Linked DNA regions of Struthio camelus. The protein of the gene in region 1 purifies or fractionates together with the protein of each later gene. This does not show direct contact. Links are inferred from orthologs where the notes say so. Each region holds a gene or a part of one and is shown in the gene's direction. Other genes may lie near its edges.

Region 1 (7,085 bases):
CTGTGAACTACTTGTCTTGCATCATAGTGATATATATTTGGGTGATGGAATAATTTTCTTAGCTCATCAAGATGTACAGAAATGACTACTAGTGGACCTATAGTGGTCACATCATTTAAGTCTTAAGACACCTCCGTGGTAGGTCAATCTGCTAAATATTATGTAACATGCAAACCTTTACTGAATCTTTACCAAATATGGTTAAGTTTATAGAGGTATGAAGTCACGCCATATTCTTTCTTAAAAGGAAAGTGTTCTATCATGTGCTTATGCTGTCCTAACAATGTTTACAATGACTGCTGAAAGTTGGAAGGAGGTGAGAAGGATGGATGATGAATTGTCTTTACAATAATTTAGAAAAATTGGCTGACATTAATGCAAAATCCTTTCTGGCAATTCTTTCCAGTTAAGTAGCAAGACTTAAATGCAGACTATTAAAATCTGCGTTTGCGTGTTTCTTTGACAATTCTAAACTGCCCCCAAGTTTTCTGCAGAAATTTTAATTCAAGAATTAGAGCTCAGTTTTAACATTGTGGGTCAAATAATATGATTCAACATACTGTAAACATGGGTGTAAACAAGCCAGAAAATTCATAGTAAGTGGCAAGTATGTGCAAAGTTTGTGCCCAAATGACAAAGTTCTGTGTGTGCAGAAATTTAAATGTAAAGTTCCCCTTGTAAATCTGTGCAAGTTTCTTTTCACTGACTCCAATATACTACTTTCTGGGAGTCTTCTAGTGGTTTTTGCTGAGAGCTCTTATCTAAAAGCTGCCTAGCATCCACAGCTGTAAAGAATTCACTGGGTCATTTGCTAAGCAATTTTCCTCTCCATGAGGAAAAGAACTACTCCATGCCCTGAAATGGTCGTACTGGCTTTTAGATTGATTCTGAGATAGAGGAATGAGGCTTCCAACAGCCTTGGGAGTGCAGGGCTTGCCTGCACAGTAAGATGATGGTAACGTGATGGGCAAACACAGTGCTAGTGTTAATTAGCGTTAGTAACAATAGCAGAAACAACACAGTAGCACAAGTTTGGCAGGTGCTAAGGGGCCAGTCTACTATAATACTAAGTACAGCTTTTGATAGAAAATCATACCCTAAAACTCATGTTGGCCCGTCTTTGCTGCTGTTGTACTGTGCTTGGGAGACTGAATGCTAGCTGTGGTTGGCTGCCCAAACCACAGCTGCATCCTCATGGTATGTACAGAAGTTGTGTTTCCACAATGCCTATGTACAAAGAAGATTCTCCAGATGAAGTTCCTGTAGAAGGGAAGAAAAGAATCCAACATGGCGTTTCTTGGGTGTGGACTTTCTCTTACATCCTATTCCATGGCAGCTCATAGGTAAGTGTTAGGGTATGTCACAAGGTATGGGGGGTTTGGAATAAGGTGAAACTGAAACTAAGATGGTATTTAGCAGTGTGACAAGTAGTACTGCTTTTGGTGTAGATCATCTGACTTTTACAAATGTCTTAGGTGTCCACGGCCTGGGAAGGTATATCTTTTTGCTACCATAAAAGATCTTGTGCGCATGAATGCGGATTCTCTGCCAGTCGCTCTGTTCTGCAAGGTGCGTGCATCTTTTATGATACCGCCATTTAAATGAGGGACAGCCAGCTACTTGGTCGCTGAGCCTGCAGTACAGAAGGCCTGAGATGCATACTTTCTCCATGTCAATCTCCCCATGGGTGCCTGCAGCTGGAGCAGGGCTGTGCAATCCAGCCGGGTGAACATAGCTGCAGACTAGACTAGGAGAGTGAGGTTGTCGCAGCAGCAGCAATCCTGACCCAGACATCACCTTTCTTTGCCACAAATCATAAGGAGGAGGATGAGATCCGTGCTGTTTCTGACAGAGCTACTCTTCCTCCTCCCGTTTTCTTGCAGCCCTGAAGGACCTAATTCTTGCCTTTTGTGTCCCCTAACTTCTTGTCCTAATTCAACTGTGAGTCACTTCCTTTCTCCAGAGACTTGACTACCATCTTGCTAGCCCAGCCACCTATTATTTCGGGAAAAGTGGTGACAACTGCTCCTTTATGTATCTCGGCAAGGAAGAAAGCACCTGAGGGAAAATAGGGGCAATCTACCCCCCTCTTGGGTAGGAAAAGCAGTTTTTGCAATCCTTTCTAGTTTTTAAATGGCAATTTATTCTCGACTGCACAGGCAGCAATGATGGGTGAGGTTTGTTTCAAACAACTATTTCTGCTTTTGAAACTCATTTTGCTTCCACTGTTTCAGCTCTTCTCAGTTCCTGGATGAAATGCTGTTTTGCCATCAAAAAAGACACAGTCATGTGTGATACAACTGCACACAACTAACAACCGTTGTGCCTCTTCATTTCATTGCACATTCTACCTTCAAAAATTTAAAACCCTGTACAAGGAAAAAAAATCTTTCTAACCATTTGGCTAGTAGCAATTTTGGTTTTTGCTTTTTAAACACGACCTAATTAATACTTCATAAATTAGCATGGGAGGAATAGAAGGATCCTAGGAAAAAAGTTTGCAATTTGTGTCACATTAGTCCCCATGTTTCTGTTTGTATATGTTTGGGGGTAGGAAGTAGTTTTTAATAATTTTCTGAATAAACTATAGTGAGATGGATTGAACAATCGCTGAACAATGAAATTATTTCTATGAGCTCACAGCCATAATCCTTACCTACCCAGCCATGTAAAAAAAAAACAAAATTCAGACAATTAATTTAGCAAGAGAAGTGGGACATGATATCATCTTGAACGGACAAGCCTGAGAAAATAGCTATAACCAGAGTAAGCATTCAAAACGTTATCCCTGTGCAATAAAAACCCTGTTAACTGGATGCCAAAAATTGGTCTGTTAGAGAACTGCAGTATTTGCCCAAACGTGAAATTAGGGATAAGCAAATTCCTTTTTAAATAATCACAGTAATGGCAAGTAAGAATTGCTGGAGCCAACAGGAATCTGCTGTACAGAAGTACAGGTTCAAGAAGTATAAAAGATTTCTTTCTGTGGCTTAAGTTTCCTAAGTTAGTATGATGTGCTCTTGTGAGACAGAAGTTATCTGGTTTATACAGAGAAGTTAAATATGATGTGGAAAAAGTCATTACAAAATGTAGATCCACTACCTTTGCCATCACAAAATAAGTTTTTTTTTTCTTTTGGCACAGCAAAAAACAAACAAACAAACAAACAATTTTCTTTCTAGTAAGCCTTTTTGTATTACCTTGGACAAAAACGTTTAGTAGAACTGTTTTCTCTTCTGTGGCTAACCAGATGACTTAGTGTCAGAAAGATGTACTGTATCGATGCAAGTATCTTAAGTATCTTTTTCAAGACTGCTGTTCAGGTTCTGTTTCTGCTTGTAGCAAGTGCTGTGGGTGCTTTACTCTCATCAACACTTTTTTTCTCCTTAAACAGGCTTCTGGATTTTCAAGGCACTTCTAGCCTTCCTCTTCTCATTTCTTCTTTACGCCTTCAGGAGTTTCATCTTTGTATTTCCAGCTGTCTCTTTTGATTGATATACATATATATATTTAATTAGAGAAAGACCAAACCGATCAACCATATACAATAGTCTTGGAAAGTAAACCCTCATACCATCTAGGTATCTAGGCTACCATCTAGGATCAGGTTAATATAGGTGTTAAAAACCTTACCCTTCCTTGGGCTCTGCTTTAGCGAGAGCCAAGGAAGGCGGGGCTGTGTCGGGGGGCCGCAGTGGCTCCCCAGTCCGCGGAAAACTGTCGGGGAAAAGCAGGGCTTCGGCAGCACTGCCCTGTGCTAGCGTAGGTGGTGACTGGGCAACGCTTTCAGACACCGGTGCAGCACGGCATGCAGGACAGCGTTTAGGTTTCGGGAGGGAAAACTCTTTTCTCTCTGCGGATTTAATTAAAACTCGTGACTTAGCTGTAGCTCCTTGATTCATCAATAAATTACAGCATGCGATAGCCTCCGCGTTTCTGCTGAATGCGCGATGTACGGAACAGGACCCGGCCAGGGGTGCGACACGCTCCTCGCCCCGGGGTTCCCGGGACGAGACGCCCCCTCCCCTCGGCCCGGCTCCTGCGGGGGGCCAGGGCGGGCCCGGGAGGCGGGGAGGGCGGGCGCCCGCCCGCGGCGCTGCGGGGCCGCCGAGGTGAGGCGAGGTCCGCGGCGCGCTGCGTGAGGCGGCGCCTCTGCGGCCGCGGAGGCGGGGTGGCCGCGGGGGCAGGCGGCGGGCGGGCTCCTTCTTTGGCCATGAGCGAGGTGCCGGCATTCGGCCGCCGCCGCCTGCGGGACGCGGGGAGGGAGCGGCCGCGCGGAGGAGCCGCCGGCGAGTGCTATGGCCCAGGCCAAGATCAGCGCCAAAGCCAGCGAGGGGGCGCAGCAGCAGCAATCCGGCGGGCAGCTCCGCGGCCGCTTCTACCGCTCCACCTCCATGGCGGACCGCTCCAGCCGCCTGCTCGAGAACCTGGACCAGCTGGAGCTCAGGTAGGCGGCCGTGGCGGGCCGCTCGGGGTGGCGACGTCCGGCTGCGCGGCCAGCCGAGGCGGCAGCCCCGGCCGGGCCGGGCCGTCCCCGCCGCCGCGGGACCCGGCTGGGGCCCCTCAGGATGCCGGCGTTGCAGCCGTTGGCGCCCCCCGCGAACCGTTGCGCCCCTCCCTCCTGGCGAGCCGTTGGCGCCCCCCGCGAGCCGTTGGCGCCCCTCCCTGCCCCGAGCCGTTGGCGCCCCTCACGAACCGTTGTGCCCCCTCCTCCCTCCCTCCCCCGAGCCGTTGGCGCCCCTCGCGAGCCGTTGCGCCCTCCCCCCGCAGCCGTTGGCGCCCCTCGCGAGCCGGGGAGGCGCCGGGAGGCCGCGGCCCGGACCGAGGGGCAGGTGGTCAGCTCGGGGCGGCGGAGGCGACGCTTTCTGCAATCATCAGTGCCGGAAAAAAGACCCCCCCCCCCGCCCCAAGGTTGAAAGTGACAGTTGGTGCTCGAAGGCGAACTAGCGCGGCCGGACGCTGGTCAGGGAAGGCGCAAAGCAGCCTGTTTTGTTTTGTTTTTCCGCGTGTTCCCCCGCCGAGCCCGGAGCTCGCTGCGCGAAGCCGCTCCGCCGCCCTGCGGCGTGGAGAGCCGGCGGCGCCGGGCGCTGTCGCTGGGGCCTCGGTGCCTCGCAGCAGCCTCCGAGCCGCCGCCGAGCGCTGGGAGGGCTCAGACCGCCCCGGAGCGCCGCTGCCTCGCCGGTCCGGGCGCTTGTTACCCAGGTCGGTGCCGGCCTTCCTGCTGAAATCCAGTAAATACCTGAGCTCTGACAGGAATAGCCATTCTGCAGCTTAATTGTGTGTGTGTGTGTGTGTTTCTTAATTAATTCCGAATATGATCGGTGTTTCATTGTTGTGTCAGGACGCGTCTTGCCTCCTCTTGTTATTTAGCGTTCCCCAAATAACCTATTTAAATTTTTTTCCCGTTTGGTCGTATAAGAGATGTTTCCATGCCTTTGATCAACTTCCTTGTCTTCTCAGCTCTCTCTTAATTATAGTGTCTTTTCTGAGGTGGATAGATCCAGTCGGTAATGTGAGCGTACCACTGATTCACCTAATGGCATTGAAATTTCAACACACCCTTTGTTCATTACAGCTGCATATTGATCAGAGGCTTTCGCAGAACCACCCATAATGTTTCTAGGTCTTTCCCAAGTTGCTGTAATTAAGAGCTCTGTGAGATACAGAACTTATGTTTTTCCTTTTCTATGCGCATTACTTAGCACATAAAGTTCACTCTTGATTAATGCAATCATATTATTCTTTCACGTAGGTTGATTAAATCTCTTTGAAGTTCTTCACAGACTTCTTTGGATTTGACTAACCAAAGTCACTGTCTGCAAACTTTTAGTCTCACTGCTGACGTCCTCATCCGGTGTGTGAATATATAATTACAAAATATTGTGCTAAATAAGCAGTAAAACTATGCCAAAATGTTTTTTTTTACATCTGCTGAGCAACTTAGTGCAATAAAACAGACACTGTGGTTAAGCAAAAATTAAACCCAAAATTAAAGTTTTCAGTTTGTTTTGGGTCTTTCAAAGAGGCACATTTCTAACTGCAAAACTCTTACAAAAAGAGTTAAACTATTCTGAATACAGTCAATTAAGTTTATTTTTGTGTTTTATTTATGTGTAAGTAATCAGCGTGCCTAATTTGAAAACCATGTGAATGGCAGGAGGAGGAGCTTCCATACTTCTTCTCCAATGTGTTTATTTTAGCTATAGTCCCTTGAGATGTTACTTGTAAATATAATAAGTGAAAATTTTGTCAAAGTGAACTATAGTCTTTAATTAACCCCTTTTACATTCCTCATTTGTCAAGTTGCTTAAGCTTGGCTGAACCCCTCAGCAACCCTCATTCCCTGAGTTTTCTGATCTTAAACAGCCTTCTCGTGTCTATGTTCCCATCCACCACGAGAACTTTTTTCCCAATGATAACAAGGTATTTTTGTCCCATATCTGCTGACCTGCTGGTACACCACTGTAGGGGTGTGTAGTAGACTCCCTCTAGGTGTTTGCAGAGTAGTTCTTATTTAAATCCCACTGGAAAGGGGGATTAATGTAATTGGAGTGGCATAGCCCTTATCTGGGAAGGAGGTAGCACTATACCAGTATAGCCGTACGTATGTGGCCATATAACCAGGAGCGTGCATTTCACAGCCTGGAGACAGTGACTGGAGAGGGGCTAAATCCCCTCAAACATTCTTTCTCTGTACATCAGTGCTTGGTTAATTTGCCCTCAGTCACGAGGAGCAAAGTATGACTTTTATTTGTAAGTGGAGAAACATATTTGAACAACGTATTAATTGCTGCTGTGATTTGAACAACAGTAGTGGAGAAACAGAACTGCAGAAGTGTTTGAGCGTGTCATTCTTCACCCCTGGATGGTTTCCCCGTTCACTCGCTGTGAGGACAAGCTCCCAGAGGTGGGAGGTAGCGAACTGAAATGAAGGTCAGAGGCAGAGGTATGGTCGTGCAGGACGAAGCTGCGTAGCTCTCAAGGAGTTAGTCCGACCCCACGAAGCGGCGGTGCAGGGCAGGTGGTATTGTGCTCAGCGTTTGTGTTGTTCCTAAAGGCTTGGCCCTTTCTGTTGCCCTGGCTGC
Region 2 (7,587 bases), about 62 Mb from region 1:
GATGGTTGTTACTTCATCAGAAACCTCTCCGTTGACCTCCAAGTCCAGTTATGTCTTGGTCAGGTTTTCTGGTCTCACTTTCTGTCCTCTGGCCACCTGATTAAGTTTCCTGGATTCTAGTGCACACTTGGGGATCCTGTGTAATAGTCCTCCGAGGGATCTCTCTTTACAGCAAAGGACACTGCCTCAAAGAGCAAACGCTATTCTCTGAGAACTTAAATAGCCTTCCACCTCAATGAACAAGGCCACAAAATTATTCTTCTGATCTCCAGAAAGAATGGAGAGAACCTGTTGCTATGTCTCAGCCAGACATAGGTCAAGCATGACAAGCAGTTTAAGAATGCTGCATGTCAAAAATATCAATTAATGCTGCAGGCATGCTGTCTAAAATTGCAGAATCTGGATTGGAATTATAAGAATTTGTAGAAAAGTCTCAAACTGCATAATTATGCATGAAACATGGGTAAAGAATTAGGTTCGGCAACTCATGAAGTAATAATGATCTTTACTGACATTCGGTAAATCAACTACTGCTAGCGCTAACGACGTGAAGAATGTTTTTCGGGTCAAAGGAGTTAAAAATTGTACACCACTGAGAAACAAAGAGGTTGGCTGAGAAACATAATGGAATCCATGTTACATTCCCCGCACTGGGATTATGTTTGCATATTACCCTATTGATCTCCACCTACTGAGAAGCACTCCTGGATCTATGGAGTTGGTCCTATCTTTATACCGCATGGGAAAAGGCAGAGGTCCACATTTCCCAGAATGGTGCGGAAACTGAAGGGAAACAGCCACCAGAAGCTCAAATGTTCCAAAGTGATTTAAAAACCATAATGGATCCAATGTAAGGGAATCTAGTCAAAAACAGGAAAAATGGAAAGTGGTATGAAGAGAATACATGCATGCCTTCATTTGATATGAGGAGCTTTAATATCACTCTTGCACACAGTTAAACAGGCCAAGATGCAACATCCTTGAGAAAGGCCCTTTGAACTCACAGGAAAGTTAAAGAAGTCATTGACAACATCCAGATAACTTGGTACAAAGACATGCTTCAACTCCATATATCAAAAGGCTACATAACTATGAAGATATGAATATGACACTCCCCTATCACCTCAACAGGTTTTCTAGTTGAGAAAAAGAGAGATTCCCTTGGATCACTCAAAATGCACAACAAAGGACCTAAGAGAAAAGACAATATTCAGACTCTGTTGCAAAATGTAACAAAGAATATTTTCAAAATAAGACTAGTCTGAATAAAGGAATGAACTAAGAAGTCCTTACCAAGCTACTCATACACAGAAAAAAACATTTATATAAAGAAATATTGAGCACCCTGAAATTAGCCTGAATAGGCTTAGAGTCCAAAGGCCTTTGGCTTCCACTGCTGTCAGTCTCTAAGAAAGCCATGAACATCACATCCTGTAGGGGCTCCAGGCAGCAAAACGTAACCGCTGGATGACCATAACTACAAGGACGGATACTGAGCACAGCACGCTGCCTGGGCACTCTGGAACTAAAGGACACCAACAAATCTCCTTATATGAACACGAACAAAGGAAATCTGCCTTTCTCACTGCCTGTATGCAACCCTTTGGACTTACCAGAGATGCAAAAGACCATCATGGACTGGCCTGCAACTAAAATGAAAAGGTAGGTCACCCTCCTAGGCTATCACAGAACAAGAACAACAATTCAGAAGATGTTTCAGTAAAAGCGTATGTATCTCCTTCTGAGATCTGTATAAAAACAAGTAAACAATCCAGAAAAAGTATTCTAGATAATCAGAAGTGCTCTGAAAATAGGCAAAAATCTTGTTAAAACCACACATTTTCAGCACATTACTTACTTCAGCTTGTACTTATGCCTCTAGTAATGCAGGAGAAATGAACAAAAGAAAACAAAAACCCCAAGCGCGGCCTTTCTAAACAAAGCTATCCCTCTATGCATGACAGTACTCTGTAATAAAGCAGAGACATTATGCCACCAGATGATTTTTTTAAGCAGCAATACTGTAGTTGTTCGACTGTAGTTTTTTTTAAAAAACCTGAATAATCAGTCCATCTGGTTTCATCACAGTCTAAAGGAATGGACTCTAATTATATGCAGAGTTTAATCCTCAAAGAATTTGACAGAAAATCAGTCATATCATAGGAACAATAAAAAGTCAGAGCAAAAACCCTTTGCCTCAGTCCAAACTGAGCATTTGAAAATTATCCAGTGGTTTTCCATACTGGCCCACAGAAAAAGGAAATGTGATAAAGTTCAAAGATTAACTGTGCCTATGCATGGCAAGTCATAACTTTTACTCATCATTTTTACATAGCACAAAGGGACTCTACACATTTCAATACATGTTCCAATCTCTGTACTTCTAACTGTTCTATCTGTAGCTTCCAAGCAACATCTGTATGACCCATTTATACTCCTGGAAAAGTAACTAGAGACAATTCTTCAAAGCTGTATCTTCTGGAACAAAGCAAGATCCATCCTCAGTACAAACAACTGATGCTATTTTGAGAGAGTAAGGTGAAGTATTTGCTAAGAATAAAGTATCAAGTGGCTATTAAAAAATATTTCCATTGTTTTATCTTCTTGCAATAATGTTTCCTATATTGCAATTGTTCATGTAATTCACTAGCATCAGAAAACAAATTAGATTTATTTTCATTATCTTTAAATGCTGTTTAATAAAACATGAATTCAGGATGTGTTGATCTGGAACACAATATTTTTAATGCTAAGCAGGGTGGCATATCCACAGATTATCTTTTGGCTTTCTTCAGGATTTGGTTACATACTTTTACCAGTCAGAGGTAGTCTGAAAGCTTGTAACGCTCAGCTGTCATAGCAAAGAGGGGAAAAATGTTCTCTGCATATATAGTGCTTCTTGGATAAGAAGGCAGGTATGAATACAGTTTATGATGTGGGAATGATCACGCTCATAAGAATCATTTTTCTGCCTCTTCTTTATGACTAGAATTTTACACTTCAGTGAAAGCTAAGATCTGTGCACAAATCAAAGAAAAGCACACAAAACAGGCAGCAGCCCCATTAACGCCAAGGTTATGATCAGACAACTACTTCGGCTAGTATTAACTATATTTAAGGTGTGATATCTGACCGTTTACTTTAGCAGTCTGTTGCAACGCAAAATAAACCAAGACTATTTTTGTTGCAGTGGACCAGCAGAGTGCTCATGGTCAAGCAGCACCAGGGGCACTACAACTTGTTAAAGAGAACTAATGCAATCACACATGTAATCACATGACCCTACCTTATAGTTTGCCAGACACTGTATTTTTAGGTTCGTTCTGATTTTTATAGAAGTTCCAACTCCCCAAAGCACTTTTGGGAAGAAGAGAACAACAACAAGCTAGCCAGTCACACTTTAATTGGCTTCAAACTGCAGAAGCTCGAAGCACACGGGCTGTAGGTCTAATTTGGGGTTAAAGCGCACTGATTAAATAAAAGGCGGGGGAAGGGGGGGGATACGAGCACGGCTGACATGTTCTCACAAGTTCGAGTCAGGCCGTTGTACAGATGCGCTTTTACAGGGAAAACAAATTCTCACTCCGATATAATGTTGCTCTAGCCAGAGGTCCGGTTTAAGGAGCACCAGAAGAGCTAACTCGGCTCCTGCCACAAGTACGCCAAGAGCACGGCACGGCGCTGCCCCAGCCGAGCCGGGCCGGGACCCCCCCGCCCTGCCGCGGCGGCCCCCGCTCACCTCGGAGGCGCCTCTGGTACCGCTCCAGGGACTCTTGCAGGGCGGGCTCCCCCCGGGGCGCCCGCATGAGGAGACCCGTCCCTGCCGGACACCGCAGCCGCCGGCGGGGCTCCACTACAGGGGAAGCGCGTGGGAACCACCAGGCGATGCCCCGCCACACCGGCACCCCGCAACGGCGACCGGTAACGGTAGTTCGAGCCGCTCCGCTTTCCCGCGCGCCACAAGCGCCGGAGGCTCCCGGAAGAACTACAACTCCCACAATGCGCAAGGGGGACACGCTCCGCTTCCTCCGCGTTGTCCGTTGCTACCCGCGAACGGCCTCCCCCAGCCAGAGCGGAGCGTAGCAACGGTCGGGCCCCGCCACGCCCCCGAGCTACGCGGCGTGAGGCAAGGCCGTCAGAGAAACTACAAGTCCCAGCAGGCGGCGCGGCGCGCGGTGCTCCCTGGGAGGTGTAGTCTCTGCTGGCCGCCCACCTCCCCCACCCGGCAGCGGGCGGTGGGCAATCTCACACCCTGCTTTCCTCTTTGTTGTGGCTTGCGGCCGCGTTCGCGCCTGCGCACAAGGGCGCTCTTCCGCCTACGTTCTCGGGTCCGCAGTGGCTGGGTATAGCGCAGGTCCAGTCGTGCCAGAGGGGACGGGGCGGGGGGGGGGGGGAAGCTGTGTTTACCTCCCGCCACCGCGTACTCTGGCGCTTGCGCAGTGAGCGCCCGCCAGGCGGCGCGGAGAGTGCAATCACCCTCCTATTGTCTGAAGCTGGCGCAGGCGCAGCTCGGTCGCTGCGCCGCTCGTCCCTTGACGCCTGCGCGCTGGCCTCCCCCCACCCCCCCCCCATTGTGTGCGTTCGGGCGGCGCCTGCGCAGTGCCGTGCCCCGCTCTGCCCGTTAGCCGCTATGTGCAGGGAATAACGTTAGGGCGGTTGCTACAGGGACACCGAGCGGAGCGCCCCGCCCCCGCCCCGCGGGGATGCCGGGTCAGTGAGCACCGGCGGCTGCGGCGGCACCAGGGACGGCCCCTCCCCGTCGCGGCGAGCCTCCGAGAAGGGGTGAGTGGGGAGGGGGGTGCTGCCGCCCTGGCTGCGGGTCGGGTGCGAGCCGTGCCGGAGGGGGGCCGGGGTCGCGCCGCTTGCCCGCCATCCGCCCGCTGCCTATTGTGTCAGGCGCCGCGCCGGGGGGCTGCGCCCGGCCGAAGGGCGGTAGCGGACGGCCCCCCCCTCCTCCTCCTCCCCGTCGTGCCCGCTGCGGTCCCCCACCCCCTCGCCAGCGCGGCGGGGCCGGCGGGGGGCTGCCGCCGCGCCGAGCCCGTAGGGGAGCGGCGCAGATTGGATGCAGATGGTGCCGCCGGATGCCGGTGCCCGCAGCCGCCGGCCCGTTGCCGCCCCGCCGCCGCCGTGGGGCCCGGCCGGCCGCCCCCGCCGCCGGCACACACCCAGCCCACCCGGCCGGCTGCGGGCACCGCGGCTCTTCAGGCTGCCTCCCTCCCTCCCCCGCCGGCGGATTTCCGCGTCTCGAGGAGACCTTTTCAGCTGTTTGTTTGTTCATTTATTTATTTATTTATTCCGGTCACTCCTATTTCAAAAACTGCCCCGTGGCTGGAGAGGGTGTGTTTCTCCAGATTTAAAAATGACCGATAACTGTTCGTTTGACATGCAGTGTTCCCGCCGCCGCCCCCTTGAAATAACGATGTTGGAGCGGGATGATGGAGAAGATCTGTTGGTTTTGCCATCTCTCTTACTGTGTGTTTCCACCCAACAAAGAGGGTCTTTTACGTTCCATAACACTCTCCCGAATGCTCGATCTTTCCATTCTTGAGACTCTTCCCGCAGGAAACGTAGAATAACCTTCCCCCCCCCCCCAATCTCCGCCTCTCCCTGGTGGTGGAAGAAAAGTGCTGGGCTCACTTTTGTCTCTTTGGCCTGGAAACGAACGGGTTACGGATCTAACAAAAACCCGATGGCGGTTTTCAAATATAAAGCGTTTGGTAGAGGAGGAAGCTGGCTTCGGGGCGGCTCGGCGGCGGCGCCCTCCGCCCTGGCCGCCCGCGCACACGCCGCCGCGGCCGGATGCCGCCGGCCCTGCGGGCGGGGGGAAGGAGTAGCCTCCTCCAGATCGCTTTTGGGCGCGTTTGGCGTTCACCGGCAGCAGGCAGAGGTGACCGTGCATCTCTCGCAAGCCCGGCTGGAGAAACGCCAGCTGGATGAAGCGCGGATGATGGCCGTTCGGTGTCATAATTATGTATACGAGCCGGGAGGAGCTCGCGGTGACAAGAGTGTTGATGGTGTTGTGCTAGTTGCCAGCCTTTTAGACGTTATTTTAAACGTTTTTAAGATGAGCCGACAATTACTCCATCTGTTCTTACTGTTTTATGAAAAAATGGAGATGTAGTTGCTGTGCTGATGAATTGAAGATAAGAGTTGCGTTCTTGTGACAACCTAGATAAGAGGTTACAGATAGCACGCGCTGATCAGCCCTTTGAAGAAATTATTTTCTTCTCAGTGAAAGCAAAGGTGTTCATGAAGTATTTGATTTATTTGAAAGAATAAAGCCTGTTCCTGGCGCTATGATGAACCCCCCCCCCCGCCATGGAGTGCTGTTCAAGGCTTTGTGACAGTGAAAAATGGTGTGTGGGACAGGACGATTTTTGTAAACTGAACTAGTATGTGATTAAATATGCTGTGATTTCCTATGATTAATTTCCTCTGGGAATTATTTTCTGTCCAGATGTTGAGGAGTATGTCTTACTGGAACTGAGCTCTGTAGGTATGAAAGATCCTAAACTTTACTTAACAAAGGGCTGAGAGGGAAGGTTGAACATAAATACGTTTAAGAATCTCCCTTCCCTTTTTGATTTTCCAAATACTTTTCAGTTTATATACACGTATTTGTTTTCTTTTCTCTCTGAAAGAGGTCAGGAAGACTGCCTAAATGGAGAGAAAAGAATAGCTGAGTATACACAGAATTTTGTCAAAAGCAAGCCATAAGACTTTTTTTTCCCCTCTAACTTATGAACTATCTAAAAGGCATTTGTAATGAATCGGATAAAAATATTTCCTTTTCTACATTTAGAGAGAAGTATTTTGACATGAAAGTTGTTACTGAACTTACCTTATCTTGGTGCTGCATTTTCTTTGACATCTGTGCCGGCTATCCTGCAGGTGACTCCCTCCTGTATCAAATCAGGCTGGGTTTTGCAAATTAGAATAGGTTCTGTATTGGGCTTCATAAGCTGTAATAGGCCTGGCAGGAAGGTATTTTTTAACAATTCTCTTGATAACATACAGTCCAGAAAAGAGTTGCATTCTTGAAATTGAACTAGAGAAGTCTATGTTTACTTGCAGATGGGAACTAGGAAGCTTCCTTGAGCAACTGGAATAAAGCCTAAACCATGAATAGCTGCAGAAATTGATTTTGAGGTACAATTTCCAGTTCTTGCAAACGCAGGTAAAATGTAATAATGTAAGCTGATATCGTAGTATCTCCTTGAATCTCTACACAAAGACTATTTCCTTGTGGCAGCTGTCCTTCTTAGCTTTGGCAAGCAGAATTAAGTGGAGGTGAAACAGATTATTTTTACTTTGTTATTCAGGAAGCCAAGGATATCTGTGGAAATTTTACTTTTGCTTAAGAAAAACTTAACAGAGGAGACAGGCATTGAATATATTCAAATATCAGAACTTGTAGAAATTCTTGTATTTGCTTCTAACATTTGTGGGGTGTTTTTTTTTTTAACAAAAAAAAAAAACCAACAACAATGGCATGCACTTCCCCCTCTTTGAAGAACTTGGTGTATGATTAGTAAAAACTGGTATGGTAGCGACCAGGAGACTGTTTGGAATTTGAGAAAAGAAAGT
Region 3 (7,169 bases), on another chromosome or scaffold:
TTGAACCTGTAGCACTTGTGTGTGTAAGTTTCAGTCTATAAATAGGAGAGGAACAAAGGAAAGTGGGTCAAAAACAGCATTAACTCCAGGAGTTTAAGAAGAACAGTATCACAACATAAAACTGAGAGCTGGCTGTGCCACCTTGGTAAGGTGATAGGCATCTGCATAGTGTTTTGCTTCGTAGGAAGGAAATACTTAGCACCTACTACCACTGTATCTTAAAATAATTACTATAAAAGCATTCAATTAAGACTGTAATTACCCCTCATGTTAATATGGACAAAGACAGGGGGTTTGATTGTTGTTTTTTTCACATGTAGTTAAATCTAGGCAAACAGATACCTGCACTTCTGTGCTATGAGAATAACATTAGCAGGTTTAATGGCTTGGTGATAGCTATTATTATCATCATGCATCAAGAGTGATTACTGCCTCTCTGACGTTAGAATGTAACAACTCTCTTATGTGTGAGTGTGGAATGTTGTATTCATTGTTTAACTGTTTTAAAAGATTTCTTTAAATATTTCCCATTTCTTTCTAACTTGAGAATGTTGTCCCCTACAAATTAAATTCTCATCATTAAATTCTCATCTTCATTTTTAAGAATGCAAATTTATTTAAAGTATATGAATAACATAAATACAAATCTTAAATTTTGTCTTAGTGATTTTGATAGAATGAATCTTTTAATTCATTAAATTTCATAAAATTAAAATTGTGATGCATATAATTCTATACATTATAGTCAAATGTAACAGTCTTTCATTACTGTATACAATCTGTTTTTGACTTACTAAATTAGCTTGTAATTCTGTGCTATCAGCTGTAAAAATTGGTTTCCTTGTATACAGCTGTATGGGCTAGTATTGCTGAAAGTGTGGAGAAAGAACTGTTGATATGGTAAAACAATTTACTCTCCAGCAACTACTCCAGCTCCTTAAAAAAACTGTCCTTACTTTAATAGCTCTAAGACCCAACTCCATCAGAGATGGCTTAAGATATAATTAGCATATTGCCTCTGATTTTAATTCCACCTCTGCAAAAAGTATGGAATCATATTATGCTTCTGCCCTTTAATCCTAGCGTTAAAAAGAAAACCTTGGCTTAAAATAGCACTTTTTATTAGAAAATTATACTTCTGGGTAAAGATACCCCCAAAATGCCAAAGACAGTACCTTTGTGGTAATACAAAAGGGATATCCCTGTCTCCCTCAGGATAATGAGCTGAAATATATATAAGTGCTAGATCCTGACACCCTTATTTACCCTGATTAGTCGCAAAACTTCCCCTTAAGGTTCTTGTTCAAAATTAGTAATAGTTTGGGGTAAAACCACGAAATAATCCAGAATTCTTAAATCCCAAACTGTACTTTTCCCCCTCCAAATATTTTGCTTGGTGTACAGCTTCCCTAAGCAATCCTTACCCTACCCCTGAATGTCAGAGCTATTTGTTAGTCATTGGAATATAAAGAATTCACATAATATGAAATGCACAGTAGCTAGACTGTGCTAGACTGAATTAGATTGGTAAATAATATAAAAGTAATTAAGGCTAAAAAAAGATTCTATGGAAACTACAGTGATACTTAATACAGCTACATAAATAATGAATATGGTGACTTTAGTCTTGCACTATATAAGCAGAAACATGCCCTTAGCATGCTCCCTGCCAGCAAGCACTGCGGAGATGATGCTGGGTATGGTTCAGGGAAACCTATTAGGCAGTTCGGAAGCGGATACCCTGTTTGGAGGCAGACAGCTTTGGAGCGTGGAGACAATTTGCACTGCGCCATGTGCCTGTTGGTCAGAAAACTCCTTGGTCTGTTAATTCATATTGTGGACAAAGATGCATATGGCAGCCATTTTTTTACATACAGTATTTTGTAACAATTTTTTTTTAATGGCTGGGAAAGTGGAGAATGTACAGTTTCATGTATTTCACAGAAAGAAAAGCTGAGGCATGGAGAGACAAAGCCATTGCTTTAAGTGTAACGAGCTGTAGGCAAGACTGAACTTCACCCTAATTCAAGCACAAACCAAGTCTTTGCCTCCTGAGCCTTGACAGTCTAGCCAGAGAATGATGCTTGCATGGCAAATGGCATAGGCCTGTTTTCCACTCTATAAATATTCAAGGCTAATTTAAGTGGGAATCAAACACTATAGCTGGTAAATCAAACAAGAAAAAATACAGTACTTATATCAGTTAAATATTAACGATTCAGACAACCACAAGCATTTGTTTTAAAGGAAATTTCAAAGCTCCTGCGTGAGAACATACTCTAGTTTTCCATCTTACTAACTATCAGACAGAAGTAATGATATTTCAGAGTACAAGCTGTCATCAGGCAGTCTTTCAAGGCGTTTTTCAAGGCTTTCTTCTAAATGACCTACTTTGTTCCTGTAGATATCTGTTGGAAGTTTTGGTAATACATGGAAGAGCAATGGTTTGGATGCTGTTGTTATTAATGATGCCATACCATAAGTTACCTTCAAGTACAACAGGAGGTAAATGACTTGGATAAACTACTTTTATCATGATTTACAGAAGCTGATATAAAACTTGCATATGAAAAATAAGCTGTTCCAGAGAATGTAGTTTTAGTTAAGAAAAAAACCCCTCAAACTGTAAACTAGCTGCCTATTTTGAAACAGTTTTGTCACTGTATTGTCATCTTAGCCTTGAGTATGATGAACTGTACTGATGTCTAAATGTGCCAGGATCAGCTCAGAAGGCTATGAAGATAACTCATATTATTCTTCAGACAGGGGAAGTCGATGACAGAAAGAACTAGAGAAGGACAATAAAGAGCATGGCAGGCAGGAGGAACCTATGATTTGCTTTTATTCCATTTTACCTATTTTCAGATTCAATAACCTGGGATCTATTCTTGCAAACTCAAACAGACACTGCTTTTGCTTTAAAAGTATTACATTATAGATTCTCTTTTTTTTTGTCCTGAAGGACTGCAACACTGTTTTGTATTTACCGCTGTTTTCCACTGAGATATGAACAAAACTGAAAAAAAGTTTAAGGATCAGACTTAGAAAGATCCCTTCCTAACATGATAAAAGGATTCCAAAGGACCGCAAGCAAGAAATAACTGAATTAAGAGTTTGGCCAAAGTCTGCAGTGGCTGTAGGCAAAGATCCAATGTAATAAAAGTTGGACTAAAACTGCTTTAAAATAGTGTCATGCTTTTTTTAGATTGTATACATCTATTTTCATACCAATGTGTATTGCTACACTTTCAATATTGTTATTGGTAAAGGATATGCTTTATGTTAGTGAAATTATGCAAGATTAGAATATTTTAGCTTGGTTGGCAAGGGAAACAAGGCTTGCGCAACTGTACTTTCTGCCAGGCCACCTAATAATTTTCAAATCTACAGGACGCTTTCAGTCCTGAAAGAAATAAATAATTTCAAAGGCAGTTAACACAAACTTCATGAGAATCAGTGACTGGATAGGAACTGGCCCCATAAAGAAACCATGGCAGACCATGCTCAGTTGCTGTACGTTCAGCTCAGGAAGATCTTGATAGCCAGCCAGCTTTTGCATGATTTCCTGACTAGAGGATCAGGTCAGTGAGCCCTCCTGGCCTGCTCCAGGATCTCATCTAACACGGGTACGTGCTTCTCCAAGGTAGGGGCGAGGCAGCGCAGCAACACCTCAGCCACGCGGGAAGGCGCCCGCGGGGCGGGACGGGACGGGGCGGCCGCTGATGGCGCAGCTCGCGCGGCCCCGCCGGGACCACCTGCCCCCGCTCAGCCCTACCTCGAGGGAGCCGCCCTTGGGCCGGCAGAGCCGCGCGCTGCCCGCGAAACCGGGCGGGCAGCTACGAAGAGAGCGAGGGGCGGCGGGCGACAACGCCCGGCCCTCAGCGCTCCCGCCCTCGCACCCCACCCACCGCCCTTTCCCTATTGGCCAGCGCCCGCTACAGCCCCACCCCTCCCGCAAGCCCAACCCACCGCCCTTCTCCTATTGGCCAATCCCCGCTAAAGCCACGCCCCTCCATCAAACCCAACCCACCGCCCTTCTCCTATTGGCCAGCCCCCGTTAAGGCCCCGCCCCCAGCGCCTCCTGGGACTTCGCGGGAAAGCGCGCGAGAGGTGGCTGTGCCGGCGCGCCCCTCCCCTGCCCCCGCGGGCGCTGAGAGCGGCCTGCCGCCCCTCGCGGGCCCGGCCAGACGCAGCCTCCCCCCGCCGGGGCCCGCCCGGCTCCGGCCGCCGCCCGCGCTGGCGCCGCGAGGCGGGCGGAAAATGGAGGAGACCTGCGCAGCCGGGGCTGCCGCCACCGCCGCCGCGGGGGCCGCTGCCTCGCCGAGAGGAGACGCGGAGGAGCCTAAGCAGGTACCGGAGGGGAGGCGAGGCGAGGCGGCCGCCGCTGCGGCGCTGCCCCGCCTCGGGCCCTGCGCTAGGCCGGGGGGCGGCCCGCGGCGCGGAGCGCACCGAGGGCCCGTGCCGTAAAGGCAGCCCAGAGGAGCGTTTGAAGTTGCCTGATAGGTATTCCTCCTCCATAAGGAGCGTTATTGTCAGGGCTGAAGTATGGCACAGAGCGCGCTAGTTATGATTAAGCGGTAATTATAAACAGTGTTTTTATTGTTGCGTTGTAAGTACGGCGTGCTCGCTCCGGTGGCGGCCCGCCGATCCGTTTTCCCCTGGAGGTGCGTCGGGTCGGAGCTGGTCGCGTCAGGGAGGCAGCGGCGGGTGGCTCCGCGCTGGCGGGGAGAGGCGGGGCGGGGAGGTTGGCCCGTGCGGCAGCCTCGGCGCTGCGGGCGGTCAAGCGGCGCCTCTGCGGCCGTAGGGCGAGCGGCGTGTTGGCCTCCGGCTGAGCTCGGCGGGCAGCTCCGCTGACCTCGCTCCCGCTCGCCGGCGTGGGGTTGAGGTGAGTCGGGGCTCAACGTCGGCGGGCGTGCGCGAAGGGCGGAGGAGCGAAGCTGCGAGCTCGGCTGCTTGCCTTTGAGAAACGGCTCACCTTCACTGGAGGTGAACAGACGCAAAAACCAAATCTGATAGCTTTAACTTGTGCATTACATAAATGAAGGGCTGATTTTTCTTTGAAAACTAGGGGTCGCTGTTGTTTCTCGGAGGTAATGAGGTAAAAAGCAGTGCTGTGGTGAAATACTCGTCTGCCCCCCCGCAAGCGGCGTTTGCCCGTCTTCAAGAGAAGACCGATTTGAAACTCCCACCTGCAAATTGGTTACGTGAAAGCGCTAAGCTAGGACCGGCAGGTACAACCATTCTTGGCAACAACAAGAAAAGTAAACCCTTCTCAAGGTAAATGCATCAGGCTCTATTATTTTTTCCCAAACTCTTAAGAATAAATTTAACAGTGAACTTGGACCCCTGTAATTCAAAGTATTGTACATACTTTTTGTCATTGTAAATATGTCTTACTTCACCACTCTCCCCCTTCTTTTTCTTCCTTGGTTCTTTCCTGTGTGCTGTCTTCTCTCCTTTATAGATGATTAAGGATGCTAGTAATGCCGATGGATTTTTTGTCAAATGCATGTTGACACACCTTGCATGAGACAGTCAAACTGACTTCCTATTGATCTGTGATTGGCTGCCTGTCAGTTGGTCAAAATCAAACCAGACTGGTTCAGCTAGCCTGGTTTTAATCTTTAGAAATCAGAACTGGCTAACTAATAGAAAAAGAAACTTCATAGTCCTGTCAAGAATATGCAAGGGAATTAAAATAAGTGGTAAAACTAAAAAGCAATGCTATCTTTCTGTAGGGATGTTTGTTAACTAGTTGGATGAGGTGAGTTCAGAGTGTTTCTAGACAGGAGATTTAGCTTCTGTCCTGAGCAAGCAAAGTCATACTAAGTCAACTCGTTAGTGAAAATCAATAGTGTGCAGGAGATCCGTGTTTAAATCCTCCTAACTGATTTTAGGTGACGTGCATTTTTGAGTGCGCCCACATGTTTTTCCTACAGGCTTTATTAATTTTTAAATACTGTGTTTGTTTGTCCAATAGAGGCAGTTTGTTCTCTCTGTCTCTAGTGGCAATATTAAAACCTAAGAGTGAGGGTATGAATTCAGACATTTATATATCATGTATTTTATTATGTTATGGTAATTCCTGGTTTAATTTGAAAGAACAATATTGACTATTGAAATAGTCCAATTTAAATAGCTCGTAATTTAGAGAGGCATTAATAAGGGCAGATAAAGAAATAAGGATATGTTTGTTAAAATATGTAAGCCAAGTTCCTGTGTTGAAAACAGGAGGAAAAAAAACATTATACAGAAGCAAAATAAAACCACAGCTGACAAAATTCAGGAATAAAGCATGCTTAAATCTTTAAAGAGAGAAACTTTTCAAAACTGACTTACTACTTTTTACTAAAAAAAATGGAGGGGAGAGGAAGGCATTTTGTAGAACCCAGCTCCTCTGTTAATGTGTATGTTAAGACAGCTTCATTTTTTTCTGACTTCTTTAGCTTTTTCTAAAAAAAATTTAGCCTACTTTTTGGAATGTCTTGAACTTGAATGTAAATAATTCCAACAGTATTACTGAACTTGTGGAACTTCAAAATGATTTTGTTAATTAACTTCTGATCTCATTAGAGCTAGTAATGTTTAGCTAGGTTCTGTTTTTCATGAAGAAAATGCTTTCAGAAGCTGAGCATGCTTGGAGAACAAGTAGCTGTATTTTTAATGTCACGCTTCATGTCTTAACTTGTAATATTTTCTAAATAGCTTTGGAATGGCGTATGACTTCATTGACTCAATTGGAAATGATGTGGATGTTGTGTCTGATTCAGAGGTATGCATAACTTTCAGTTCCATGATTCAAACATTTATGGTGTATAACTCTTATGTTAAGGCACTGTCAAAGAATGACCTGTGTGTCCTTTGAGGAAAAGGAAAAGTGCCCTAATGAAGTACAAGCAAATGATCTAATTTTTGCTGTGTTGTCTAAGGGAGTTGTGATCATTGAATAAAAGAAGTATAGATAAAAACATAATTCCAGTGCAATTTTAAAAATAATGTTTAAAATTTTAAAAATAATTTTTAGCTAAAATATGCAGGTCAGTGAATGTGATGTGTCAATTTATAATGTAGGTCAGCCTTGTGTTTGTGAAATTGGTTATTTGATGCATATTGTTGCTGCTCTTAGGGTTATTTGTTTGCCTTCTCACGTAGAAGAGAGAGACTTCCTC
Region 4 (7,893 bases), about 31 Mb from region 1:
GCTGGAACCCCAACAAGTGTGGGTCTGGGAAGGGCACGTGAGGTTCGGGAGGAACAGAAAAAGATCCCATGTGCCTGGCAATAACAATACCTCCTAAGCCTTAGTACCACCTTTTGTTGGAATATGAAATCTGCTGGGGCTTCAGGGGTTAGTGAAGGGATGGGGAGAGTTCCCCCAAATTCTTCAAATTTCATGATGCCCAGTTTTACAGTGTTATGATGCCCTTCTGGTGAAGGGAGAGTGAGAACAGTATTGTGAAAGATGTAAATAGCTTGATCTATCTCGGAACTGAGATCGTTGTCAGCTTTCTGCAAATTGAGTGGAGGAAAACTTTATTGCAGAGCAGAAAAAGATGATGGATAGCACTGTTTGTGAAGATATTGGGAAGTGAAACAGCTCCAGATTAAAAACTGGCAAGCTCTACTAGCACAGGCTAAGCCATAAATTTACCTGTAGTATCTCTTCCCAGGAATGATCTAATGAATGACAATTAGTTTGTTACAGAATGCTGTAGCCCACTAATGTTTGTTTTTTGGGGGGGGGGGGAAGGGGGGGGAACAACTGTATAATGCGTCTTGAAATTGAAATACTTCAACTTATTTTCCTGCAAATTACCAGACTAATACTTCTCGATATCTTTTTTTCTGTGCCATTGTGCTTTGCATACTGTATGTTCTTAGAGCAAGTTGACATCATCTCTTGCAGGAAGACTTTAAGGTTCAGTTTGCTGTTTTGCAATGTGTCTCAACAAAGCAAAACATGAATAACACTGTCATTTGCTGTGAAAATTGTGAACCATTTGTGAAGCATTCATATTGTTGGGAACATGCTAGTTTAGTTCTGTAAAATAGCTTCTTAAAGCACGAATTTCATTAAAGATGCTTTTGAAGTTGTTCAGCCTACTTTGTCGGAGATTAATTTTTACTGTATTCTTACCATTCATTAGGCTGGCAGTTTTCCTTGATCTCCTTGCTATTTGAATCGGTTTCTCCTAAGTGACTCAATAGCTAATAGGTCTGAAGTCTAAACATTATTTGCCTTGGAAAGAGATCCCCTTAGGACTGCCTGACTTTATTCTTGAGAATCAGTCCGAGTGTTTTTGTTGTGCATATGCTTATATTATGTTCTTTTTCTTAGATCATGTACCTAACAAATTAAACAACATATACGTGCCCGTGTTTTTCAGCTAACTAGCTATTTCTTAGCCTTTCTAATGAAATAGAGCTTCCTGATAATGTAGGAGTGGGTAGAAGACCATGCCCTGTGCACCTGTAAACTGGCCCCTTAGACCTTGCTAACCTTCTCTCTCCTCTGTGGATTCCAGTCACAGGTGAGAACAGATTGAGGGCAAAGTGGTAGCAGAAGTGATGGTTTAAATTGGTGTACTTTGAAAAGCTGGATAATTTTGTGCTTGAATTATTTCAAGTGAAAATGTCATCAGAAATTGAGGAACTTGAACTCAAAGTTAGTTTGAGCTAGATGTTTGTTTGTTACAATCATTAGCAGTTTTTAACATAGCAGAGGAGGCGACTGTCTCTTGCTAATATAGGTGTAATTTAGACATAGCTAGTAACTTGTCAAAATGGAAGTGGAACAGTAGATCAGAGTAGACAGTGTTGAGGCTTCTTCATGTCTGGTACGTTTTGTGCAAGGATGATGGTGCTTCAGATGCAGTCTACACATGTTGTTCAGTGCTTTCTGAAGGGAAGGAATCACATAATCTCTTGCTTCAAATGAAGGTCCTCCAAAGAAGCACTGTGCTGTCCTTAACCTGTCTCGCACAATCGATGTTGATAGTCACGGCCACTGTATGCCAGACACTATATAGAAAGGGCTGCTGCTCCTTGTCTTGCATGTTTTGTTGGGCTGTTAAGGGATATTTATGGACATCTTAGTAGGCTTTATCAAAAGGACTCATGACACCTGTAAGTCTCACCTTGGCATCTCTGAAGATAATGGCCCTTCCTTTACAAGAAGGGACAGGTTTGTTTGACGTGTTTGGGTACGTATCCGTCTGCACCATCAGAGAGCTGTGGCAGACCTCCTGTGTTGCTGCATCTTCTGACATTGACAATGCTCTTCCTATATGCAGGGTGGAGGTAGAAGTTATGTCTGGTCCTCTATTGACAGAGGATGAACCCTGAGCACCAGGCTTGATACTGACGCTCCTAGTACCCTTTGAATTATGGTTGCCTGCTTTGTCCTGCATGACCTGTCTGAGGATACAGGAAGGCCTTTCCATACAGACTGGAACAACAGGGACCAGTTTCTGTAGCAAGTGATGTGCAGCTCTCTGCAAGTGTTTGGGACAGCAAGGATTGTGCTTATGTTACTTCCTTTCTTTCTGAAGGCTGCAAACATGCTGCATCTCTTCAAGTGGATTGAATGGCAGGGGGAAGGATAATGTGCCTTTCCATGAAATATCCACGTGTGAGCACTAAAAAAGATGAGCTTCCTGAAATATGTGGTGTTCCTTTTCCTCACCATATAAGAAAGGTTTCTTCATGTTCCCCTGTATCTCCTTAAGTCTTTTCTGCTTCATTTGTTCCGTCACCCTTTTTTTGGATATCTGATTGTCTTCCCTGGCCATCTTTGTCTAGGCTGATGCGTACTGGCTGTCAGATGCTGCTGAGCTCCTGCTGTTGCACCAAGCTGAGCTTCTTCCAAATGTTCCTACAGCTGCTTTCCAACATGGGCCTCAGAGCAGGTTTGATGGCTCTGGATCCCTTTAGCAGCTGCTACTCCAGCCTCTTGCTGCCAGTCTGCAGGTGGGCCAAAACCTGATGTCAACACCACTGAGAAGTCTTTTTATCCTAGTCTCCCTCCTCTTTATCCAAAATATCACATTGCTCCTGAGAACTGCAACGCTCCCTCCAGGACAGCCTCCTCGCATTATCGTTCTTGTGGTTGTGGGATAGTGATTGGATCTGCAATGTTATTTTATATGGTGTCACGATTACTTCATAATCTTATAACAGCTAATTTTAAGGAAAGGAAAGGGCTATATCATCAGGTCCTGCCTCATGCAAGATTTGCTGGGATTGAGCTAGGTACTTGAAGTTTTCCGCACTGGAGCCTGGCATTAGGGTTTTGACACAGGTAGTTGCTGTGCAGATTTCTCCCGTAGCTCATGGGCTCAAAGGAGTATCTTTTAAAGTACAGGGGCCCCTCTGGTTAGACTGCCAAAATACATTGCTTTTGTGCAGCTCTGAGCAGTCTTTTCAGGAGATTTGTACACCTGCCCTCTGCACTTTCACCATAGAGACCATTTTGGAAAGGCCTTAGCCTTAGTAGGGTTGGAAGTAGGAGCTCTAGCATGGGGGGATGCTGAGGTTGGCGGTGGTGGACAGTGGTCTGAAGAGGTGTCCTAGATGTGCCTGTGTGGAGTCAGAGATGCAAAAGTGGAGCGCGTGTGCTCCTCCAAATTCTCCTGTGTAGTGACCTACAGTCACAGTGAGTTGCTGCCTGAGTGGCAAACTCCCAATCCAAAGACTTCTTCAGGCACCCTGTAATGTGCCATGCCACCCACAACTGCAGTTATTACTCCAGGTCTTCAAGAATGCTGCCTTCATCTTCATAACCTTGACGCAATGCAGTGGTGCACCTGTCCTCTCACACTTGGTGGCAGACATCACATGAGCGACTTCATGCTCCTGCCAGTAGAGAGACTCTCTAGCCTCGTAAGGTGTGCCACTTCTCCTGGCCCCAGGTTGCACTGCTCTGAACTTCCTGGAAGTGGAAGAGCTACTAATCAACATAACAGAAAAGACTTGAGAAATAACAGGCCTGAAAAGGAGTAGGAGAAATAAGCTGCTCTACTGGTGTCATGTCTTGCCTGTCTTAAAGAAGAGATTTCAAACCAGAAGTGTGTGAGGAACAGCAAATAGATAGATCACTGTTGCAATACAGGAGGCTGGCAGGCAAGGGTAGGTAAAGAGAAGTGTGCCCAAGGCTGGCTGGCTAGCTAGCTATATTGCATGTGAACCACAGCAGGGCGGGAAGGTCTCAGCACACAGCACCCCTGCCTCTTGAACCCCTAAGTACCTGTTGGAGGAGGGCCCTGTGGTCCTCATGTGGCTTTGGGAGAAGGGATTTGAACAGATTTGGTTTCCTTTCCTGTGAAAGGAACCCAGGTTATGAACACCAAAATCTCTTTGAGAAGTGTACCAGCATGCAATAAATGGAAACAATCAGGGGACTCGCTGCACGACTGCTCTGTTTCTAGTCATCTTGCTAAGGTAGGCTCAGCTTCTGTCACCTTATCTGTATTATCATTTTAATTTCTATTTCTTCTAAATGTATTGCTGCTGTACATGAGCCTAAGGCAGGAGCCAAGCTCTGCATCTGCTCTGCAGGTGCTCTGTCCCTTAGTGAGCCAGACCCGCGTGGCCCTTGCAGGATGAGCTCTCCTTGCCACGTGCAAACACGCTCTGGTTTGTAGAAGAAGTGGGGGGAGGGGGAGGGGGGGGTGTGTATGTGGAGGGGCGACATAGGTTTTTAAAAAACAATTGTTTCCAGGTGCTTCCACTCAAAACGTTCTCTTGCCCCACGTTACGAGGCGTGACACCACCCCTCCAGGAGCGCTGCAGCACTCGGCACGCCGGAGAGCGGCCCCGGCCCCGCGGCTCCCCCCTGCCGCCCCGAGCAGAGGGCCGCGCCCCGATTGGCCGTGGCCCCTGGCTCATTTGCATGTCTCCTCCGGCTCTCCTGCGCGCCGGGCGCTGTTGTGACACGTGAGGGCGGTGCACGTGGGCCCGTTATGTAAGGGGCGGGGAGGGGAGGGGGAAGGGGGAGAAAGGGGCGGGGAAGCTGGCGCAGGCATGCACGAGCGCGCGCACGTGCGGCGGGCCGGTGCGCATGCGGCGGGCGGCCGAGGCGCATGCGCGCGCGCACGGGGCGAGCGAGGGGGCGGAGGGAAGGTCGCGTTGGTTCTCCTCCTTCTCCGCCCCTCCCCCTTCCAGACCGAGGAGGCTCCCGAGCGACAATGAAGCAGCAGCAACAGCAGCAGCAGCAGCAGCAACAACAACAACAACAACAACAACAGGCGCAGCAGCAGCCACCCTCCGCCAGCGCGGGGGTCCCGGCTTTCCTCAGCAAGCTGTGGGCGCTGGTGGGCGAGGCCCCTAGCAACCAGCTCATCACCTGGAACCAGGTGTGCGGCGGCGCGCGAGCCGCGGCCGTTGGGGCCGCTGCGCCCCCGCGCGCGCCGCGTCTGCGGCTGGGGGAGGGGTGGGGGGGGAGAGGGGCGCCACCGCCCCGCAGGCGGCGTTGGGCCGGGCGGCGGCCCCCGCTTCCCGCGGCGGGGTGAGAGGGGTAGGCTGCCCTTCCCCCCCCCCCCCGAACTTCCCCCCCCCTCAGGGAAGGGGAGGGCAGGCCGGGCGGGCATCGGAGCCCGCGGCGGGGGGCCGCCCTGCGCGGGTCTCGGCGCACGTAAGGAGAACGGAAAAAAAAAAAAAAAAGCGGGCGCGCCCGCTTGGCTTGGTCTGGCTTTCGCCAAGCCCTCCGCCGGGCGGGAGATCGCCCCCCTCCCACTACCACCCCGGCCTCGCCGTGTGGCCCCGCCGGGCTTCCTGCGCCGGGGGGGGGGGGGTGGCTGGGCCGCCGCGGCTCTCGCAGACCCGGTGGCTGCTGGAGGGAGGCCACGTTCCCTGGTGGGGCCCTCAAGGGCTGCCCCTTTCTAGGCTGTAGATACCGCGTGTTGTATAAACGCCCCTGGCTGCAAGGGGGACGGGTCTCTTGCTTCTCTTTCCCTTCCCCCCCCCACGCCCCCCCGGTTAAAAGCAGTGCGTGGTCGGCTGGCTGCTAAGAAGGGACCTGTTTGCCTGCTCCGACTCGCCAGGCTTGGAGCTTTCAAGGGGCCTCCTGCACCCTCTGGGGTGCTCTGAGGGTGGCTCTGAGCTGTGAGGGGGGGCTGTGTAATAGAGGACGGGGATCTCGGAGTGGTTTTGTTTCACGGTCCGGTGTTAGGTGGTGTAAGGTTTTGTTGTTGGTGGTTTGTTTTGTTTTGTGTTTTTTTAAGCTATAATAGTGGTAATATAGAACTCGGGTGGGACTTTTCATTAATAAGTTCATAAGTAGGCCTGTTTTTCGTGAAGTGGGTAATTGTCTAACGGGGATTGTAAGTCTGTACGTAAGGACAGCCAGAAAATCAGAAAATAAGGGATATTTACAGTTGCTGTATTATAAAACACGAAGGATAGTGCTTTCCCTTTCCCATATAAAACCAGTTCAGTTCTCGCAGCGTAAGAAGAAGGTATGGCGAGGTCAGTGGTTTCTGCAGATCCGCGTGGTGTGCTCCCTACGCCCTCCCAAGTAAGACAGCTGCCTGCCATGTGCCTTAGCGCATCCTTACCCCTGCCGCCAGGTACTAGCGGCGGCGGCAGCATGTGGCATGGCCGGCCGGCCGGGAGCGGAGCCCGCGCTCATTGGCGGGCAGCTGAGCACGTGGGGCGCGCCGGTCACGTGGGGCGGGCAGCGGCCGTTGCGCCCGGGCTGCCTGTTGCCCCTCTGGGCGGGCAGTGCGCGCTTTGCGCCTTCCCTCGCCGCCAGCAAGCTTGTATTTACGGCCCTAGGGTTGGGCAACTTGCAAAGGTGGTCATAAGTTTTTGCTGGGGAGTGGTGTACAGGTGCTAGATCACGTGCATCTTTCTGAAAAAAAACCATATTAGGTACCAGCAGTGGTGATGGCAGGGGAGGCAAACAAGAGCTGATGTACTTCTGTTTTTGTTCCTTTTTTTTTTTTTTTTTACAATAACTTAAATGCTTTCCCTAGGAACTGCAGATTAAATTTATATAGTGACCGTGTTGATTTGTATGTGTTTAGATTGATTATTTAAAAAAAAAAAAGAACGAGTTGGACATCCTTTTTATCTTGACTCTGTTATATTAAAATGGAGGCCATTGCAGCAAATAATAAAACAACATTATCAGAGTGCAAAGTAACTTGATTTTTAAGTATCTTAAAATATTGGGAGGCAGGAAGTAACCATCTTCTTACAGTGTAGGGAAGAGCTGGCTACTTTGGTTCGGTAAACATCATTAACCCTTTTGTGATGAAATGGTAAGCAATTCTTTGATATAACCATGTTTTACTATATCTGAGGTATTTTTCCTGTACTTTTTTTTTTTTTGAGACTTCTGCCTCCACTCTTAAACTGTATAGATGTTCTCAATGCGTATTGAGATGGCATCTTTCACCTGAGACTATTTTAAGTGCTCAAGCAATGATAAAAATATCTAAAATATCTTCTTAAACTTTTTGCGGGTATTGAGTTATCAGTAACTTCAGCCAGAACTTTTCAGAGATTAAATGGAGTGTAGCTAGATGACAGCAGCTTTACTTTTAGTGCCTTTTAGTTTTGTTTTTTTCCCCCCTCCTGGAGGAGGGATGCTAAGGGTGTTTATAAAGGTTCAGATGCGCTCTAGTTTAACAAATGCTGTTTTCAACACGCAAGATATTTAGTGGATGCTTCATTTTCCATTTTAGATTCATTGTATATACTTACCTCAGGAAAGCAGGCCAAGGCCATTGTTAGGTGTCTCTGTATTGTTAAAAGTAAAGACTGTGGCATTGTTGGAGACTGAGGCAGTTTGCAGAAGCAAGATCTGCTAATCACAGCAGATGTTATCAGGCTTCAACAGTTCTGGTATGGGAGAAAGGTATTTGGATAACTTGGTATACAAGTGATTGCATCTTTTTGAATATATCAGTATTGTGGGTTACAGAGTACAGTAATGTAAATGTAACTGTAAGGGAACAGTACACTTACAATAATAATAACTGTGGTTTCAGACAGTGTTTATCCTTACAATGTTCTAAACACATCTATATCTTTACCAGATAGCTAAACCTAGGTTTCTCCCCTGTCTTAGTGGAGCAACAGGTGAGCGTTG

What was found.
Region 2: the proteins of BAG2 (region 1) and CEP170 purify together in Homo sapiens (affinity purification with mass spectrometry; 3 studies listed by BioGRID and IntAct, with this or other methods). This does not show direct contact. The link is inferred for Struthio camelus from reciprocal best matches to the Homo sapiens genes BAG2 and CEP170.
Region 3: the proteins of BAG2 (region 1) and EDRF1 purify together in Homo sapiens (affinity purification with mass spectrometry; 3 studies listed by BioGRID and IntAct, with this or other methods). This does not show direct contact. The link is inferred for Struthio camelus from reciprocal best matches to the Homo sapiens genes BAG2 and EDRF1.
Region 4: the proteins of BAG2 (region 1) and HSF2 purify together in Homo sapiens (affinity purification with mass spectrometry; 4 studies listed by BioGRID and IntAct, with this or other methods). This does not show direct contact. The link is inferred for Struthio camelus from reciprocal best matches to the Homo sapiens genes BAG2 and HSF2.

What each region holds. Positions count from the first base shown.
Region 1 is NC_090944.1:36,126,992-36,134,076, forward strand, and holds the start of BAG2 (BAG family molecular chaperone regulator 2), read left to right. Parts: upstream 1-4,082; 5' UTR 4,083-4,298; coding exon 4,299-4,447; intron 4,448-7,085. UniProt on the Homo sapiens protein: Co-chaperone for HSP70 and HSC70 chaperone proteins. Acts as a nucleotide-exchange factor (NEF) promoting the release of ADP from the HSP70 and HSC70 proteins thereby triggering client/substrate protein release.
Region 2 is NC_090944.1:98,413,055-98,420,641, reverse strand, and holds the start of CEP170 (centrosomal protein of 170 kDa), read left to right. Parts: upstream 1-4,580; 5' UTR 4,581-4,782; intron 4,783-7,587. Other genes in the region: SDCCAG8 (serologically defined colon cancer antigen 8), read right to left, coding at 3,740-3,806.
Region 3 is NC_090948.1:4,044,417-4,051,585, reverse strand, and holds the start of EDRF1 (erythroid differentiation-related factor 1), read left to right. Parts: upstream 1-4,162; 5' UTR 4,163-4,260; coding exon 4,261-4,350; intron 4,351-5,068; coding exon 5,069-5,277; intron 5,278-6,705; coding exon 6,706-6,772; intron 6,773-7,169. UniProt on the Homo sapiens protein: Transcription factor involved in erythroid differentiation. Involved in transcriptional activation of the globin gene.
Region 4 is NC_090944.1:66,929,632-66,937,524, forward strand, and holds the start of HSF2 (heat shock factor protein 2), read left to right. Parts: upstream 1-4,888; 5' UTR 4,889-4,984; coding exon 4,985-5,152; intron 5,153-7,893. UniProt on the Homo sapiens protein: DNA-binding protein that specifically binds heat shock promoter elements (HSE) and activates transcription. In higher eukaryotes, HSF is unable to bind to the HSE unless the cells are heat shocked.